Linked DNA regions of Sus scrofa. The protein of the gene in region 1 purifies or fractionates together with the protein of each later gene. This does not show direct contact. Links are inferred from orthologs where the notes say so. Each region holds a gene or a part of one and is shown on either strand. Other genes may lie near its edges.

Region 1 (4,514 bases):
TTTATTTTTAAGAAATTCTAGAATATATACAACTTAAAAGGGCACAAGGAAACTTTCTGGGGTGATGAAATGTTTCATGTATTTATTTTTAACGGTGTGGGTTCCACTAATGTATGTCTTTTCCCCTCTCTCTTTTTATTGGAGTTTTTACTGAAGTTTTGTTGAAGTAGAGTTGATTTACAAAGTGGTGATACTTTCTGCTGTACAGCACAGTGATTCAGTTCTACGTGTACACACATTCCATTCCCTTTCAGATGCTTTTCCCAGCATGTATTTTTCAAAACTGTTTTAAGGGAACACTCAAGAGCTGAGCCTATCGCTGTTTATAAATCTTACTTAAAATTGAGAAAAGACCATTGAAATAGTATTGTTTATTTTAAAAGATTTATATTTTATGGATGCAGGGTTAAATATTTACAGATGAAAAGACATATATAATTCTTGGGATTTAGTAAAAATTGGGGGAAGGAGTAGTGATAAATATAGGGAATAGACAAGAATGCAGATGCACGTGGTTGACTGCATTAGAAAACAATGGAAGGAGTTCCCGTCGTGGCGCAGTGGTTAACGAATCCGACTAGGAACCATGAGGTTGCAGGTTCGGTCCCTGCCCTTGCTCAGTGGGTTAACGATCCTGCGTTGCCGTGAGCTGTGGTGTAGGTTGCAGACGCGGCTCGGATCCCGCGTTGCTGTGGCTCTGGCGTAGGCCGGTGGCTACAGCTCCGATTCAACCCCTAGCCTGGGAACCTCCATATGCCACGGGAGCGGCCCAAGAAATAGCAACAACAACAATAACAACAACAACAACAACAAAAAAAAAAAAAAAGAAGAAAGAAAACAGTGGAAGCTGGGTGATATTCCATGGAGAGTCCTTTATTCTATTTTTGTTTTTGTTTTGCTTTTTAGGGGTGCACCCGCAGTATATGGAAGTTCCCAGGCCAGGGGTGGCTGGACCTGTAGCTACTGGCCTATACTACTACTACAGCCACAGCAACACCAGATCCCAGCCCTATCCCTGACCCACACTGCAGCTCATGGCAATGCAGGATCCTGAACCCATTAAGTGAGGCTGGGGATGGAACCCGCATCCCCACGGATACTAGTTGGGTTTGTCACTGCTGAGCCACAACAGGAATTCCTATTCTCTCCATTCTTGTATGTTTGAACATTTCCCATAATAAAAAGTTGAAAAGAGAGGGATCATCTTGGTTCCTCTCCCTTTACAAGAGAAAACTGAACATAACTTGTATTGGCTCTCAAAGCCAAAAAGCAAACCAACTTCCAAGTTTCCTTCCAAGTTCCCCAGGAAACAAAATAGGAGCGTTTTTAGAAAGCCTACTTTTTAAAAGGGCCGACCATCAGTGCAAGGAGTAGGTTAAGCAATATATATACTTGCTTCCCATCTCTTTGGGTTTCAAACTGTTGTTTTTGTAGATTTAAATTACTTTTTACTCACATTCCAGAATGTGAGTCCAAGGATCAGAGAAATTCCCCCCCACACACACACAAATAAACACAAGACAAGCAAAAAAAAAAAAAAAAATCTGCAAAGACCTGTTTTTTCCCCTTCCAGTTCTAAAAGCATCCTCCTATTCCAGGCAAAGCAAGCAGAGGCAGTCTGTTAGGGGGAGGAGCTTGGTTCTCCATTCCGGTGTGATCCAGGAACAGCTGTTTTCCCTCCAGCTCTGAAAGGTGAAACTGTGTCAAGCAATGCAAAAATTGTCTTGAAGCTCGTGCATGTGTATGTCTGTGTGTCTGTGTGTGGGATGGGGTAGCCTGTCAGCCCCGAGGACAACGTGAATCAGTAGTCGGAAAGGTGAGTGGTATGTGGAATCTCTCTTTTCAGAAGGGGCCCATGAAATTGGATATGACGGTTCAGGAGACTCAGTCACTCTGGATTTATCTCTTCCATCCAGGAACAGGAATCTGGAAAGTAAATCCCATTCTGAGAACAAAACGCCTTACAGCCGCTGGGTTTCGACGGCTGGGGAATATTTATTCCTTGATCCACTGATGGGAAAAATCAGCGTCTGGCAGCCGCTGATTGGTGGAAAGAAAATGGTGATAGTGGGGTGGGAAGAGGATTTGACGAGCCTCCTCCTGCCTCCTCAACCTGTAACTCATCCTTACTAGTCGCCTCTCCACCTGCCGGACCACTTCGGGCTCAGGAGAGGTTAAGAACAAACGTTAAATCCGGAGAATAGTTAAACAAAAGCTTCGTTAACATTGTGTCCTAAGGACCCTTCATCCAATTTCAGTGATGCGAGGGAAACCTGCGCTTGGTCCTGATGCGGGTACCTTCCGAAGCTACCTGTCTCCTTTAGCAGCTCCCCGAAAGACTGGCGCTATTTTGGTGGTAGAGCCCTCAGACCCCACTTCCCCGGGCTGGCTCATGACGTGGGGGTCCGCAGGAAAAACCGGGGGGAAAGGCGGAGACTGGGAAGGAGGGGGGATGGGGAGAGAGAAACAGACATCAGACATCAGCCCAAGCCTCAGAGCTCCGGATCGCCGCCAGAGCCCGGGCGCCCCTGAACTTGAGGTGAACCGCCCAACACCCCACCTTCCAGTCTCCCAAGCCCAGGCGGGCGGCTGGCGTTGGAGGTACAGCCTCCCACCACCCCCATCCGAGAAGAGGAGTGAAGTGCACGCGGCGGGGAAAGCAACGCGCGCAGGGAGCGGGGCGGGGAGCGGCGCTGACAAATCCGCTGCGGGGGCGGGGAGCGGAGGAGAAGGAGGAGGAAGACGAGGAGAAGGACCGAGACCACTAGAAGGGGACCCAGGAGAGGGGGCGAGAGACAGAGCGCAGCGACGTGGGGGTGAGGTGTGTGCTGGCTTTGGAGCAGACCCGGGGACCGCGCCTTGCCTTTGGCAGCCTTGGCGCTCTTTCGCCGCCTTCCCTTCCTCCCTTCTTCTGCCTGGAATCCTCTCGTGCGGGGGACGGGGAGTGGCGATTCGACGACAGGTTCGCGGGTTCCCTCCCACGCCCCCAGCCTCTCCCCCCAGGGTTGTGCCGACAGCCGCCTCCGCTGAGGGCCATCCCTCTCCTGGTGCCGCCTCCACCCTTCCTGTGCGCTCCTATCCTCCTCCCTCCCATTTAAATAATATTTAGGAATTGTTTTTAAAATTTTTTAAGTGGGTGCGGGGAGGATCGGAGTTCTCAGGAGCCAAGGGAATCAGGTAAGTACCTGTGAATCTAAGTGGGCAGCTTGGGAAATCTTGGAGAAAACCTGGTGGGAGAAGAGTCATTGCGGCGCCTGGGGGGGGGGGGGGGTTAGTGCTGCGGTGAGGACCTGCCATAGTCGAGTCTCTCTTAGAGGTGGGCACTGACCCCTTTGGTGAGCTTGAGGAAAGTAAATTGACTCGGCTTACCTCTCTTCTCGTCCTCAAAGGCTGAGCGGTCTGGATTCTCCGGGATACGCTTTTCCTTTGGGAAAGTCGAGGATGCTCGAAGGATTATAACTATTCAACTTTTATTTCTTACTTTCCTTAAATCCCCCAGCCCACCCTCTCTGTTCTCTCTGTAAAGTAAGCAAGCTGTATTGGGCAAGCCTTTAAATGGAAGCGCAGAGAGAGCAAGTCAACAGGTGGGAAGGGGTTAACAGGTGCTGGGCGCCGGGTGGGTGGCGGGTTCAGCGGGCTAACTCCACCTCTGGCAGCTGGCGCGCATCCGGAGACTGCCTGCAGGTGTGAACGCTCCTGCTTGCCTGCTCAGGGTAGACAGCTGAAGGTGGGGTACAGCGTCCAGTGGGTGAGAGCCACTGCAGGTGGGCTTGCAGTTGGCCTGGGGTTCAGCCACACCCAGAGTGAGTGGTTCTCTTCCCACCCCTCTTCCTGATCAACCTGTTAGCTGTTTGGGGGATTTATTTTGAGTATCTCTGACCCCCCCTCCTCCAGCTCCTTTTTCCGTTTCCTGTGATCTGTCTTCTAAACGCACTTCTAACTTAACACCTTCATCGTTTGGACCCTGGGAAATTGAAAGGGGGGAGGGGGTAAGTCCTTTCATGTAACTCCACTTGGAATGCGGTGAGAACAACTCAGATGATTCATCCCAATCCATGTTTAGGAGGCTAGACTTCCACCAAACAAGATGGATGGGAGATGCTAAATTTTTAATGCAAAAGCTAAAAAAAGGCTGCTTTGTCCAGTGGTTGAAACAGAGGTACACCTACAAGAGTCCTGCATTTTTTTTGGGGGGGGGCGGGGGAGTCTACTGATCTTTCAGTGATTTTTACCTTGGGTGGTTCTAATTTCGTTTTGTTTTACCCCAAAGTTCTCAAAGTGTATTTTGTGTTCTCCAGTGTGGTGTAAAGGAATTCATTAGCCATGGATGTATTCATGAAAGGACTTTCAAAAGCCAAGGAGGGAGTCGTGGCTGCTGCTGAAAAAACCAAACAGGGTGTGGCAGAAGCAGCGGGAAAGACAAAAGAGGGTGTGCTCTATGTAGGTAGGTAAGCCCTAGATGTCAATTTGAAATTTATTTATGACTGGTGGGTTAGGGTGATTGATGCCTTAAA
Region 2 (4,622 bases), on another chromosome or scaffold:
CTTCCGTGTCCCTCTGTGGGGACCTGACTTCCAGCCTCCAAGCTGTGACCCTCATGTGCAGGCCCAGCAGCTGCCCACCCCGGGCACTTTGCTGTGGCAGCCAGAGGGGCCTGGGTCCCGGGCCCTGCTGTCAGGCCTCAGTCCAGTTGAGAGCCGGCACAGCCCTGTTGAGGGCACCAGCCCCTGACCAGGAGGCTGTGGGAGGCAGTGGGGCATGGTCTCCAGGGTGAGGCGGGGCTGATGGGCGCTCTGCGCGCCCAACAGAGGGCCACGGCTTGGGTGACTCTGCAGAGCAGGGACAGGTGGCCCAGATAGGGTGCAGAGTCGGCCTGTGTGGAGCTTACCCTAGATGGGCGGGGGACAAGCAGCTGGGCTTGGGTCAACGGGGCCTGCAAGGTGCAGAGCCAGGGTGGCCGCCTACCTTGATGCCATCCAGCACCGCAGGTCCTGGGCCTGCCCGGTGGCCTGGGGACTCCATTCCTCCGGATGGTGAGTGAACAGCCCTGCTGGGGCATCTCGGCTGGAGCTGTATCGACCGCTGTAGCTTTCCAGCCGGTCCGTCGGGGAAATCGTTTTCCAATGCGAGAGAGATTCGACCCCTTGCGCTCGATAAGGGCAACGTGCACGGAGGCTCCGCTCCTTGCGGACTCGATCGGCTCCTGCGCTCCTGCGCGGGAGCGGCTCCCAGGGACGCAGAAGGACCCGCGTCTCGGCAGCCCGGATCCAGGCGGCAATCAAGTACCTCGCGGCCCTGAGGCAGTACGCGGGCCAGAGCAGAGAAGGCTGAGACCCCAGGCGCGGCGTGAGTCTGCTCGTCAGGGGCGGGCAGGGGTCACCAGGCGCTAGGGACGGGGGCAGGACCCAGTGTAGGATCCCCGCCCGCTCCGCCCCAGCTCCCAGTGGGATCGGGCCGGTCCAGGGTGTCCTCAGGGCACGGGACCTCGGGAGGGGTGGCCGCAGGGGGAGAAGACAACGGACATCTGGGTAGAAGGGTCTGGGCAGACGCAGGGGGAAGAGAAGCATAGGCAAGACCAGCTCGGCGCCCTGGACCCCGTGCTGTGCCCGCGCGTCCCGCCCAGCTCCCTCCCCACCACCGACTGCTCCGCCGGGCTCCACTGGGGCTCAGCGGAGGCTGGGCTGTGGGAGCCCCCCAAGGCAGATGCTGGTGCGTGCCGCAGCCACAGGGGCTGCAGTTTAGGGTGAGAGGAAGACAGAAAGCCACCTGTCTCCGTCCTAAGAGGCCTGGGACCCGGCGGTGTCCCCTCTCCCAGGCGCCCCAGGCCCCAGACGTGCAAGGCCTGGGGCAGAGCGCGCTGCTGCGGACAGCAGACTGGCGCCCTCGCTGAGACCCAGCGGTCGGGTCCCGAGGGCGGGGTGCAGGGGCGTGGCCAGGCTCGTCCTCCGCCCACCTGGGGCGGTACAGAGGCGGAGCCAGGGAGGGCGGGCGCCCCGGTTGGCCAGCGGGGCCGGCAGGGCGGCAGGATAAGAGCCCAGAGCGCAGCGAGACCGGAGCGGAGCTTTCGCGGACACTTGGCAGCAGGACCAGTGGGACCACCTACGGAGCCGAGGCCGGGCGCGCAGGTGAGGCCGGGCCACCCGTGGGCCACCCTCCCCACCAGACGTCCCCCTGGGGATCCTCCGCTCCTTTCTCGGACCCCGCGGCTGCAAAGGGCCGGCGGGCACCATCGGGGCGGGGGCCTCCGTGTCCTGAAGGCAGCGGTCTTTCCAGAAGTCACCCACGGCTGGGGTGCACAGCGCACTGCGGCCATGCCATGGGCGGTCTAAAGGCGAACAGTGCCCGAGGGGTGCGTGCGCTAGAGGGCGCGGGCGATGTTCTCCACCCCGGGCTCTGTGATTCGGGCAGGGGGCCGCCCACAACCCCAGCTTCCCTGCAGCGCTGGCCCCCGGCCCTTGGCTGTTTGTGACTGATTCCTTCCCGTTGAACCAGACCTGGGAGGGGTGAGGCAGACGCGAGCCAGGGCTCCCCTGTCCCAAGGGGTGGTCTTCTCAGCCAGCGCTTCTCCTCACAGCTTGGCCTTGGCTTTTCCAGATGGGGGAGGGGCGCGGGGTTGTGGGGCTCTGAGGGCCCAGGCCGAGTGCAAGCACAGACCAGAGCTCTGCTTGCCAAGTGCCTGGTTCGCTTTCTGTACCCAAACCTGGCCTCTGAGGTCGGGGCCTCAGGAACGCGGTGGGCTCCCCTCAAATGCCCAGCCTCGTTTTCCCTGGCAGGTGGGCCCCGATGCACCTGCAAGTGCTGCTGTCAGAGCAAAAAGGCTGGGACCTGCCGCCTGTACCAGCCCAGCGCCCCCCACGGGACCCCGGCCAGGCCAGGCCCTCGTGCCCCTCCCACGAAAGCCCTTGCCCTGGGTTTCGTTCGTCTCAGGAAGGTGCTGAGGGTCTGTCACTGAGACGAGCTGCGTAAATGACTGATGGGCGTTTCTGTTCAAACGTGGATGCGGAGGAAAACGTCCCCATTCCTGCTGCCGTCCTGCCACCTTCTGCTTCCGGGGGGGTGTGCGTGTGTTTGTGCGTGTGTGCCTGTGCATGAGCACACTCGCGGGTGCCGCTGAAACGTCCAAATGCCAGGAGGCATGTTGGACGCTGCCCCTGGCCTCGGGCGCCCGCCTTGCTCTTGCTGTGACAGGTTTGCTCTGTTCTCCTTGGTTGTGTTTCCCAGTCCCACGAGCTAACTGGGAAAAAGCTGCTGGTAAAAGCTGCTGCCTCAGGAGCCAGTCCCGCACACCCAGGAGATCCTGCCGCAGGTTCGGCCCCTGCCGGGCCCTTCCAGGTGCGGCCACAGGTGGGTGTGGCTGCAGCCATTCCTCGGAGGAGACGCGTCATCTTAAACTCGGAATTCCTGTGGCTGCCTTGGGTTTTAAGTTGTGCTCTTTACTTTGGCCACTGAGTAGAAACTACGTGTGTGCGCTGTCGTGAAGACTTAGGTGGGACACTATCTGAAGATGGTCCACTGACTCCCCGGAGTGGGGGAGGCTGCAGGGGACGTCTTGCACTATAACTCAAAGCGAATGGGAGATGACACAGCACCATCCTTTGACAGGAGGGGAGAGGGGACCCGGGGGTGGGGGGCAGAGCGGAGGTCTGTCCTGAGGCCCCGCCCCCCGCCTGCCTCCTGCCCTCGCCCTGGCTGGGTCCTCCATCCAGGGGGCCTGGAATGTGTTCATTCTGCCCCAGGAAAACGGCCGGAAGCGCCTCGATCTGCTCGTGCCCCCGCCACGCTGTTGTTCTGGCTGCTCAACCCTTGCTCTCCTGTGTGTGCTTCTTTTTCATGCCGGCTGAAGACCCAGAGGGAAGATCTGCTCGGGGCTCCTGCTCCCCGGATGCCATGAGGCACAGCAGGTGCTCCGTGGCCCTGGTGTCTTCCGCGGTGGCGCCAGCCAAGGAGGCCAACGCCACGGGCCCCAAGGCGGTGGAGCTGGTCCTGGTCAAGGAGCAAAATGGGGTGCAGCTCACGAACTCCACCCTCCTCAGCCCCCCGCAGAGCTGCGCCGAGGCCCCAGATCGGGAGACCTGGAGCAAGAAGGCCGACTTCCTCCTCTCGGTGATTGGCTTCGCCGTGGACCTGGCCAACGTCTGGCGGTTTCCTTACCTGTGCTACAAAAATGGTGGGGGTGAGTGCTGTCCCCCACCCCACGCCCTCCTGCCAGGGGCCAGGGCCAGGGGCAGGGCTCTGGGGAGTGAGGGCCACCCTCCTCACCCTCCCACCGTGGCCAGGGCCAGGGGGTGCTGGGGCAGGGCTCTGGGGAGTGGAGCCATCGCACGGCACAGCCTCCCGGGACAGACATGGTGCTCAGAGCCGCCCCATCCCCTGACCGCCTCCCCAGCTGAGCCCAGAAAGCAGAAGCCAGGGTTTGGAGCTGGAGGGGCCACGGCCCTGCCTGCTGGTTCCGAAGGTGGTTTCACTTTGGCCGACTTAACCAGCTGACACGTGTGCAGAGGCCCTTGAACTTGGAGGAGCCGAAGTTGTCCCAGGGACAGGCCCGTCTCCTCCCCTCCCCACCTCACCCCTGCACGGCCGGGCCTGGAATTGCCAGATCTGGCCTCCAGGTAGAAAACTAGGAAACAGGCCAGGGCTGCTCAGAAATTCAGGCTGAGACATTAGGCTGGTGCTCGTTCCTGTGAGAGGCCTCAATGCGGCCGGGGGTCAGTCCCTGAGGGGCTTCCAGAGCCCCCGGTGGGCAGATTCCCTGGCCCCCTTTGAGGCCTAAGTGGGTACAGAAGTTGCCCCAAGACAGGCAGCTCTGTGGGTGTCCCTGCACCCCTCCCAGAAAGAGAGCCCCCCATTTGAGGCAGTGTGACCTCAGGAGGGTCTCAGGAGGCTGAGCCCAGGGGCCCTGGACTTCGTGCTCAGAGTGCAGTGTGGCTTTGAGAGGAACTGGGTGCCGGGGTGGGGGGGAACCCCAGCCCCAGGGCAGCGCCCACCAGCAGAGAGACAGCTCAAATGCAGAGGCCCAGGTAGGGTCAGACCCCGAAGGACTCAAGAGAAGAGGGGACGGAGGGCAGGACCTGCCGGCAGTGCCAGGAACAGAGCCGCGATGCGGGCAGCGGCCTCATGGGCTCTGCTCTGGGGCTGCCTCTGCAGGTGGGGAGGAGCGGGACCCACG
Region 3 (4,403 bases), on another chromosome or scaffold:
TATAGGGAAATTTGGGAGGGCTACCGTGGGTTTTTTTATTTTGTTTTGTTTGGCTTTTTAGGGCCGCACCCGCTGCATATGGAAGTTCCCAGGCTAGGGGAGGAATGGGAGCTACAGCTGCCTGCCACAGCCACAGCCACGCCAGATCCAAGCTGCACCTGCGACCTACATCACAGCTCACCGCCATGCCAGATACTTAACACCCCTGAGCGAGTCAGGGATAGAACCCATATTTTCATGAATACTAATTGGGTTCCTCAACGCTGAGCTACAAGGGGAACTCCAGGAATAAGGTATTTTTAAAATATGGTATGTACTTTTTAAAACATGCTATTGCCCACTTAATAGACTATAGTGTAACTTTATGTGCACTAGAAAACCAAAAAAAGTCCTGTCTTCCTTTATTGCATAGCTGCTTTATAGCGGTTGTCTGGGACCCATGTGTTATCTCCCAGGTACACCTGGAGATAGGTCTGAATTATGTGCTCAGCGGTCACACTAATCCTGTGGATGCAGAAGCAGCATTGGAATACTTAAAAAAAAAATTGTTTTTTGAGAAACTAATACACGTGAAATTATCCATCCTAACCCAATTAGTCACGGGAACAGGTGATGAAGCTTGGGAAGACTTTGAAGAATCCTAATAGTGCGGAGGAGAATCCTAATAGTTCGAGAAGGAGCTCCAGGAAATAGGAACAATGCAAAGGGAGACCCAGGTCCACACAGGCGACGTAAAGAAACAATTCTGTTTTGCTAAATTGTGTGTTTAAAGAAAGCCGCCACGGCTCTCTAGACCGCACAACACGTCCACGCTGAGGCACAAAGCGGGTTCATTTCAGGGTGCGCCCGGGAGCACTGTAGGGGTACAACAGGCAGGCGAACCCCAAGGTTCTCCAAGCTGGGTTCGGCCGGATGTGACGGAACGCGAGGCCCGCGCCCTATCTCTACGCAGTGCGGGGCTGAGGATGCGGGGCCGAGGATGCGGGGCCGAGGATGCCGGCCGGGCGGCGTGCGCCTGCGCAGTGCGGGGCCGAGGATGTCGGCCGGCGGCGTGCGCCTGCGCGGTGCGGGGCGAGGATGCCGGCCGGCGGCGTGCGCCTGCGCGGTGCGGGGCGATGGCAAGCCGGACGGCGTGCGCCTGCGCGGTGCGGGACTGAGGCCAGAGCCTGGGGGCACGCGTGCGTACTCGGGTAGATTCCCGTTTAGTCCGGTTCTGGCCCAGTTGTCCTCGCAGGGACCAGAACGGGCCGAAGCGCTGCGTCTGCGGGAAGAAGCGAGGTTCAGGTCGGGGCCTTGGGGAGCGCGGCGCGTGCGCAGGCCGTGGCTCTGGGGGCGGCGAGGGGGTGCTGAGCCCCCGCTGGAGGGTGGCGGGGCCGCGGAAGGGAGCGCCCCAGAGGGTCCGCAAGGCTCAGGGCCTTGGGGAGCACGAATGGAATCAGGCGGCCTCCCGGGGTGAGCGGATGACGCCTTCGGCCGCCGGCGTGGTACCAGCTCTACGGCTGCGAAAATTTGCGTGCATACCGTCCCACCCGCTTGGGGCTAGTTAATCTTGTGTTTGCTGACGTCATTTTATTATAATCCGTTTTGCACGGAAAACAAACTCTAGAAAAAGAGTAGGCTATAAGCTGTTCAGACCCTAGCTTAGCAGCTCTCCTGTGTAAGAGAGCTAAGTGCAAAGAGAGACAGTCTAGCAGGATTGGGTTTAACGAGGGGGATTCCCATCTTAATCTGTCATTTAAGAAAAAAAAGTGTTCAAATATTTAACACTGTTAACCCCCACCCCGCCCCAGAATTTTCAGTGCAGTTATTGGAACTAAAAAAAAAAAAAAAAAAATTCCTCCAAAAATTTCAGGGGCTAATAGTTAAAACCTGTGTATTTCGTTTTTTACCCGTGAAAGTTCAGTCCCGTCCTTGTGAACTAGTGCTTGAAAAAGGAGGCGTTTTATCTCCCCCGCATTGTGTGAAATGCAAGACCTAGGAACTTGGGTCTTGGAAAACCTCATCTGTGATATGTTATTGGAAATTGGATTTAAAAAAAAACAAAATCTAAGCAATAATGACACGTGGTGGCAACCTTACTGTGTTTTCACCTCAAAGAGCAGCAGCTGAAATTCTTTGGGAACCCTAAAGTGCTTCTTCCTATTCATTTGTGCTTGTCTATCAAAACCTTTCTGTAGGAGCACTTAGTTACTCTGCTTAAAAAAGTTTCTAAATTGAAAGTTTTTGGCTCTTAGAGGGTGAAAGTTTTTCCGAAATCTTTTTTTTTTCTTTCTTTCCAGTTAAGTCTTCAGAAAATACAACATAAGAATGGCTTCTAAAAGGGCTCTGGTCATCCTGGCTAAAGGAGCAGAGGAGATGGAGACGGTTATTCCTGTAGATGTCATGAGACGAGCTGGAGTAAGTCCTCCAAAGTTTTCTAGCCCTCCTCCCTTTTAAAACATTTTTTTTTTTTAAATTGATTTTTGTCATTTTGAATGGAGTAATGTTCGGTGTACTTTATGAAATATTTTAAAAGTACACGACCGTACAGAGACTACATAGAACCAATTACCTGTTTATACACTTTTCCACGTTTAGTACTTGTTAACATCCCATATTTCTTACAGACCTGTTTTTTTGTTTTGTTTCTTTTTTTTTTTTTTTTTTGTCTTGTTAGGGCCACACCTGAAGCATAAGGAGGTTTCTAGGCAAGGGGTTGAATCTGAGCTGTAGCCGCTGGCCTGTGCCACAGCAATGCCAGATCTGAGCCGCATCTGTGACCTATACCACAGCTCACAGCAATGCTGGATCCTTAATCCACCAGGTGAGGCCGGGGATCAAACCTGCATCCTCATGGATCCTAGTCAGATTCATTTCTGCTGAGCCACGACAGGAACCCCCCTGTTTCTTTTTTTTTTTAAATTTTATTTAATTGAAGTGTAGTTGATTTACAGTGTCGTGTTGGTTTCTGACGTACAGCAGAGTGATTCGTATGTGTATACACACACACACACGTTCTGTTTTGTATTTTCTTTTTCATTATGGTTTATTATGGGAAAGTGAATATGGTTCACTGTGGTGTACAGTAGGACTTTGTTGTTTATCCATTGTATGTGTAGTAGTTTGCATCTGCTGAGCACAGACTCCCAATATGCCCCTCCCCTTGCCCCTCCCTTCTGGGAACGCAAGTCTCTTCTCCAGGTCACACCTGTTTCTTGAAGAACAAACGTGTTTTAAAGGAATAAAGCATCCTAAAGCCCTGTTTGTAAATTTCCCTAATCCTATTCCCCTTCTGGGCCTGGAGATCAAGACTCTTCTCACACTAAGGTGTATCCATCCTGTGCATGTCTTTCAAGTAGCATTAGGCTCCAGCTCTCATTTTGTCTGTATTATAAACCTGTATCATAACATTGAATACTTACATAGCTTGTACTGCATACTGGGTGTCATTCTGAGCACTTGCATTCTCTTAAAATGTTACAACAACTCTGAGTCGTAACTCTGCTGTTGCAAGTTACACCAAGGGCAATAATAAAAAGTTATTGCCATCCTCCTTTTACAGTTAAAGAAATGGAGGCACAGAGACATTATTCCATCCATCCATCAGTCAGTGAAATATTTAAAGTGCTCATGCTGTACTAAAGATACCGATCTAGTCTGCTTAATTTAAAATTGCTGCTCAGTATCGCACCACAGGAAGATGCCTGCACTGTCCTTTCTTCTGTTACATCGCTTCACAGGATTGTCACGCTCTGGGACAGGATTCCTTGTTCGGAGTGTGGAAGTTCTCTAGACTCTGAGCCTAAAAGGACGTGCTGGTCAGTTGGTCGATGTTATTGGATTCTGTCAAACCATCCAGAATACTAGCATGTGGGAGTTCCCTGGTGGTCTAATGGTTAGGACTCGGCACTTTCACTGCTGCAGCCTAGGTTCGATCCCTGGTCTGGGAATTCAGATCCCACATCGAGCCGCTGCTCACCACCGCCAAAAACAAAACAACAAAACAGACTAAAGTGCTGATACCTGGGCCCACAAGCCTTGAGGAAAATTCCCATTTTTCTCAGTATTTTCTACTTTATACATTTTTGCAAGGTAGGGTAGTATTTTGTTGTTTTAGCTCACGTCTCTACCTTACAAAAATCCCGTGAGGTTTAAATGGCAACAGCACCTTGGCAGGTGGATTGTGGATAGAATGATCATATTGATTGATCACCCAAACCAGACCCCTTGGTGGGAGGAAGGACATGAGGCAGACAGAGTGCTGGGACAGCATCACAGGCAACGGGGACAGACCTAGAGATGAGCGATAGTTAAGCAGCACATGAGCCTAAAGTCAGCATGGCTTTGTTGCAGTATTTCCTGCCAAGTTTTTTTAAGACACATGGCAGCTGTGAAAATGTTACTCTAAATTTATGTTTCAGTGT
Region 4 (4,646 bases), on another chromosome or scaffold:
TTAACCCAATGAGCGAGGTCAGGGATCCAACTTGCAACCTCATGGTTACTAGTTGGATTCGTTAACCACTGCACCACAATAGGAGCTCTACTCCTGCTTTTCTAGGTGAAAATCTTGATACATGAGTAGCTTAGTTTTCAAAGAATTAAGTAGACCATCCACAGCCAAAGCAAAGCTACACTATGACTATCTGACCAGGAGGATTTTGGGGTATGTGAGATCGTTCCCTGCCCCATGTCCCTTGTCCCCGGCCCTCAGCTCTGCACACACCTCCTACTGGGCTGATTCACAGGCAGCAACTATTCTGCCCTCTTACTTTCTTTCCAGTTCACATGCTCTTCCACTAAGAAGTCATAGGGTCTTTTTTCAAATTTGATGTGCTTTGTCATGGAACATGGATGGTCAAACATTGAACCTCAAGGAGAACTGTAAAAATTCAAGAGCAAGACTGGCTGCTTCTACATGGGCTCTAAAAGGATTCTTAGCGTATCGTGAGAACGAAGACTGATGCCAAGAAAGGGCCTTAAGCTTCAAAGAAAGTGAGAGCTCTGCTACAAACAGTTGGGGAGGAAAATAATGGATTCCTGGGTCACTTCGATTGGGAAAAAAACACTTGGGTTAAATGAAGTTCCATGTGTTTCTTTACTGAAGAACCTCTCCAAGTCTTTACAATGCTTTTACTCTATGTGTTGGGGATCACAACGGTGACAGGTGGCCCCATCACAGCTTCTTTGTCATGGGGGAAGGTATGACTACGGGAGTAGGCTTTGAGGATACCCTTAAGGAGACTATTGATTTTTTAAAAAAATAAGCTGTTTATTGAATTGCAGAATTTTAGTTTTGTATGTTCACCAGGGACCTGGGTGTCTCTTTATGAAGTAGTCCAGAACTCTAGAAAGACATGGGCAGTGTGTGCCCACTGTACCCCCAAAGATACCCTGTACCCCTCCAAGACAAGCTTCCTGAAGGTGGGGTGCCATCCCCCTCCTAACCCATGTCCGTGACAGACCCTACCCAAAGCCTGCCTTGGAGTTTGGTCATAATCAAGGTCTAGCAAAATCTACTGAAGTGAATCTTGGCAGCAGGCCCTGGGCCAGGCTGGTAACAAAACCAGATCCAAGATCTCACCCCTTGAAGCTTTCAAAAGCAAATAAACCTTCCCTGTTTGTTAACCACAGCCCCAGGATCAGCTGACACCGCCTGGAAGGACTGTGGGTTGCCATGGCAACCTGGCTGACAACCTGGCAGGCCATCCAGAGGAGCGACAGCCAGTCCCTCCCCCCTGCACAGAGGGTCAGGGCGGGGGGGGGGGGGGGGGCACCTGGCTCTTCCTCACCTCTTTCTTCTTCTTGGCTTCCTCCAGGGAGCTGAGCAGTGATTTGCGCTCTTCATTTGATTGTTCTATTAGGGTCTTTATCTGTTTCACCTCCTTGAGGGCATTTTTAATTTCTTTATTAACGTACTTACTCCCCTCGGTGGACATTTCTGCAAGAAAAGCGCAAGGGAGGTAGATGGGGCGAGAGGAAGGAATGGTGCTGGGGATATAAGCCTGGAACCAGCTGGAAGGGTCGGAAAGGCCAGTGGGTCTAGGGGCTGCCAAGCCTAGGAGCCCCTGACAGGCAGCCTTCGGGCCCAGCCTCTGCCAACCCAAGTTCCATCACAGGGCTCACTGCAGACCCAGGACCGAGGAGCATCCATTACACCCCACCCTGCTCAGAAACACCAACCATCAGAGAGACACACCCCAGAGGAGAGACAACCCAGGCCACCTCCAGGGCTCTGGAGAAGCAGCCTAATTGGCTGCCGAAGAAAATTTTCAAGGGTAACTGCTTAAGCATGAAAATGTAAATATTATTACTTTGGATACAAGTCTTTCTGGACTTGAGTTTAAGCACGCATGTGTTCTTCTTTGTTCCAATGCATGGTGTCAGGAGACGGGGACAGGAAGCACTGTGGATTAACAACACCATTCCTCGAGGGGACTGTGATCAGACACAGCAGGGTGACAAATGCAATGAGACAGTGTCAATGAACTTCCGAAAATAACAGCCAATACGTTTCTGATCTTGAGCCAGGAGCTGAGCTGAACGCTTCTCTCTCTCTCTCTCTTTTTTTTTTTTTTGCGCCACACCCACAGCATATGAAAGTTCCCAGGCTAGGGGGCAAATTGGAGCTGTAGCTGCCGGCCTATGCCACAGCCACAGCAATGCCAGATCTGAGCTGTGTCTGTGGCTTACACCACATCTCATGGCAATGCCAGATCCTTAACACACAGCAAAGCCAGGGATCAAACCCTCGTCTTCATGCATACTGGTCGGATTCGTTACCACTGAGCCATGACAGGAACTCCAAAGCTGAACACTTCTTATGCATTTTATTTAACATGCCCATCTGTCCTCACCCCACAGCACCAATGAGGATAAAGAGATCAAGACACTCACCCAAGATCAGACAGCTGGGGAGGGTGGAGCCAGACACCCACCCAGAACTGATCTCAGGGTTTTTAACTACTGCCCTGCAGTGGTCAGCTGCTAGGACAGAGTGGGGAGGAGGGAATTTAGGTTTCAGGAAAGGTCTGGCAGAAGAGGGGACCACCAGCGGGGCTCTGAAGGATGTCAAGCCTCTTAGGGAATGAGAGTTCCCCTCTCCTGAATCCAGGGCACTGGTTTCCTAGGTGGAAAGGGATGGATACAGGGAACAAGTGCCCCGGCAACTCAGAAACGGCAGGCCACAGAGGCGCCAAGGGTCCAGGCTTCATGGGGTTTCATGGAGGAGGTGTGGGTGCCAGGCTCGGAGGGAAACAGACCAGTGAGGTGCAGCAGCCAGAAAGGGCTTGAGAACAACCTGAAACTGCCTTGAAATCAAGCTGACAGCAAAGCCCAGGCTGGCGAGGGAGGCCTCAGCAAGGCTGGGGCAGAGCAGGTGCGACGGGATGCACAGGAGGGAGAAAGGTGCTCTCTAACCCTGGGACCCAGGACGGGGAGGGAGCATGTGAGGAGGCGCACAGGCTCACTTACCCTGGAGCTCTTTGTCCGAGATGGCCTTGTCCCCCAGCACCCAGGGGCCATTCTCCCAGGTCAGCAGCAGCCCCACCAAGAGCAGCAGAGTCTTCATCTCGCCTGCTTCTCCAGTTCTGGAATTCTAGCACGCCTCTGTTTGTAGAGAACAAGGGACTGTCATGGTAACAGCCAGGCAGCCTGGGGGGTTTCCGCTCTAGCCTGCTGCCTGCAGAGGCTTCGGCTTCCCAGGCGCCCAGCAGAGGCCTTGCCCTCGGCTACCCCCTCAGCTGGCACCACTGCCCTTTATCTGGGGAAGTGACAAGAAAGGCTCAGACTTGCCACGGACAAGTGGAAGGAGTAGATAGAGGCAGGAACCACAGGACAGCAGCCTAATATAAGAACTCCAGAGTCACAGCCACCAGGCTCAGGTCCAAGCTGCCCTCCCCCTGTCCCCCTCCTCCTTCTCCCCCTTTTCCTCGTTCTCCTCCCTTTACCCTTAATAGCTGACTAAGCCTGAGCAAGGCACAATACTGTCTGCATCCAGGCAGGGCATCTATCTGCTGATACCTGCTCACATCAAACAAACTCTGAAAACACCTCTCTTGGGTCACTCATCTGGCCTCTCCCGTCCTCCCCCTGCCAAAGTGGGGACTGCAGTCCAGAGTGCAGACAGTCCAGGCCGCTGCTGTGTGCATCACCCATCCTGCCCCAGCAGACATCACCAATCAATCACAGCAGTTCCTCCCCCCTACCCCCTGCCCGCCTCTAAGCCTCAACACCTCCTGAAACTGCTTTTTCAGGGTCTGAGGCAGTGAGGACCTCAGACCTCTGGGTTAGCACATTCTAAGCCCACAGCAGGGTGTCTGCCAAGGTCCTCCCACCACCACTCGGCCAGCTGCCCTGAGCTCTGGACCAGCTGGTCTTACACAATGGACCCTTTCCCAGAAGCTGAAGCTGTTGCAAAACAGAACCCCCGTGCCCTGCACCTCCTCCCCAGAACCGCTAATCTGAACTCGCCCACTTCCCTGAACAGAACGGGAAGGGGGTCTCTCCTTCCTGAGATGGTGCACATCCAGAAGCTGCTCTCAGCTTGGCAGGCCCCCCTGGACCCTCGGGAGCATATTCATAAAGCAAACCTCTCCTGAGACATCATTAGCAAAGCAGCCGAGCTGTGGTTCTCAAGCAGCGTGGGAGAAGAGGGCGGGGTCACCACCTTCCCCAGAGATGGTGAGTGGGTGGTGGAGCCAGGCGCTAATTCAGGTGTCTCGGCTCTGCCCCAGCTGCTCACTGAGGCCTGAAACGCCTGGAGCAGGGACAGAGCCTTTGTCACACCAGAGAGAGAAAGCCAGCAAGAAACACCCCTGATGTTGTGTGGAGGCCCCTGATGGCAATGATTTCTGAGAAATCCATACATAAGCCTCTGATACCAGAAGACAGGGCATTGGGTCCTGAGAGGAAGGGAGGCAGGGCAGCCAAAGGCAAGAGCCCTTCATGAGGAGTCTGGAAAGCAGTGGTCAGTGTAGGATCTCCTACCAGGACTGGGACCACGGGAGCCATAGAGCTCCGAGCTGGGAAAGAAACCAGTCTCCTGTCCAATCCCTCCCCCTTGGAGGGGAAGCCAAACCCACAGACAGGATGGGGCTTCCC

Evidence for each region.
Region 2: the proteins of SNCA (region 1) and SLC6A3 purify together in Homo sapiens (affinity purification with western blotting; 6 studies listed by BioGRID and IntAct, with this or other methods). This does not show direct contact. The link is inferred for Sus scrofa from reciprocal best matches to the Homo sapiens genes SNCA and SLC6A3.
Region 3: the proteins of SNCA (region 1) and PARK7 purify together in Homo sapiens (affinity purification with western blotting; 3 studies listed by BioGRID and IntAct, with this or other methods). This does not show direct contact. The link is inferred for Sus scrofa from reciprocal best matches to the Homo sapiens genes SNCA and PARK7.
Region 4: the proteins of SNCA (region 1) and CLU purify together in Homo sapiens (affinity purification with western blotting; 3 studies listed by BioGRID and IntAct, with this or other methods). This does not show direct contact. The link is inferred for Sus scrofa from reciprocal best matches to the Homo sapiens genes SNCA and CLU.

Annotation. Positions count from the first base shown.
Region 1 is NC_010450.4:129,246,110-129,250,623, forward strand, and holds the start of SNCA (alpha-synuclein), read left to right. Parts: upstream 1-1,614; 5' UTR 1,615-1,692; exon of another isoform or gene 1,693-1,816; intron 1,817-2,449; exon of another isoform or gene 2,450-3,177; intron 3,178-3,294; exon of another isoform or gene 3,295-3,316; intron 3,317-3,665; exon of another isoform or gene 3,666-3,989; intron 3,990-4,066; exon of another isoform or gene 4,067-4,159; intron 4,160-4,298; 5' UTR 4,299-4,323; coding exon 4,324-4,444; intron 4,445-4,514. UniProt on the Homo sapiens protein: Neuronal protein that plays several roles in synaptic activity such as regulation of synaptic vesicle trafficking and subsequent neurotransmitter release.
Region 2 is NC_010458.4:79,184,621-79,189,242, forward strand, and holds the start of SLC6A3 (sodium-dependent dopamine transporter), read left to right. Parts: upstream 1-1,493; 5' UTR 1,494-1,581; intron 1,582-3,299; 5' UTR 3,300-3,343; coding exon 3,344-3,629; intron 3,630-4,622. UniProt on the Homo sapiens protein: Mediates sodium- and chloride-dependent transport of dopamine. Also mediates sodium- and chloride-dependent transport of norepinephrine (also known as noradrenaline). Regulator of light-dependent retinal hyaloid vessel regression, downstream of OPN5 signaling.
Region 3 is NC_010448.4:68,628,053-68,632,455, forward strand, and holds the start of PARK7 (protein deglycase DJ-1), read left to right. Parts: upstream 1-1,274; 5' UTR 1,275-1,284; intron 1,285-2,279; 5' UTR 2,280-2,307; coding exon 2,308-2,397; intron 2,398-3,857; exon of another isoform or gene 3,858-3,929; intron 3,930-4,403. UniProt on the Homo sapiens protein: Multifunctional protein with controversial molecular function which plays an important role in cell protection against oxidative stress and cell death acting as oxidative stress sensor and redox-sensitive chaperone and protease.
Region 4 is NC_010456.5:11,345,864-11,350,509, forward strand, and holds the start of CLU (clusterin precursor), read right to left. Parts: upstream 3,130-4,646; 5' UTR 3,115-3,129; coding exon 3,018-3,114; intron 1,983-3,017; coding exon of another isoform or gene 1,859-1,982; intron 1,486-1,858; coding exon 1,337-1,485; intron 1-1,336.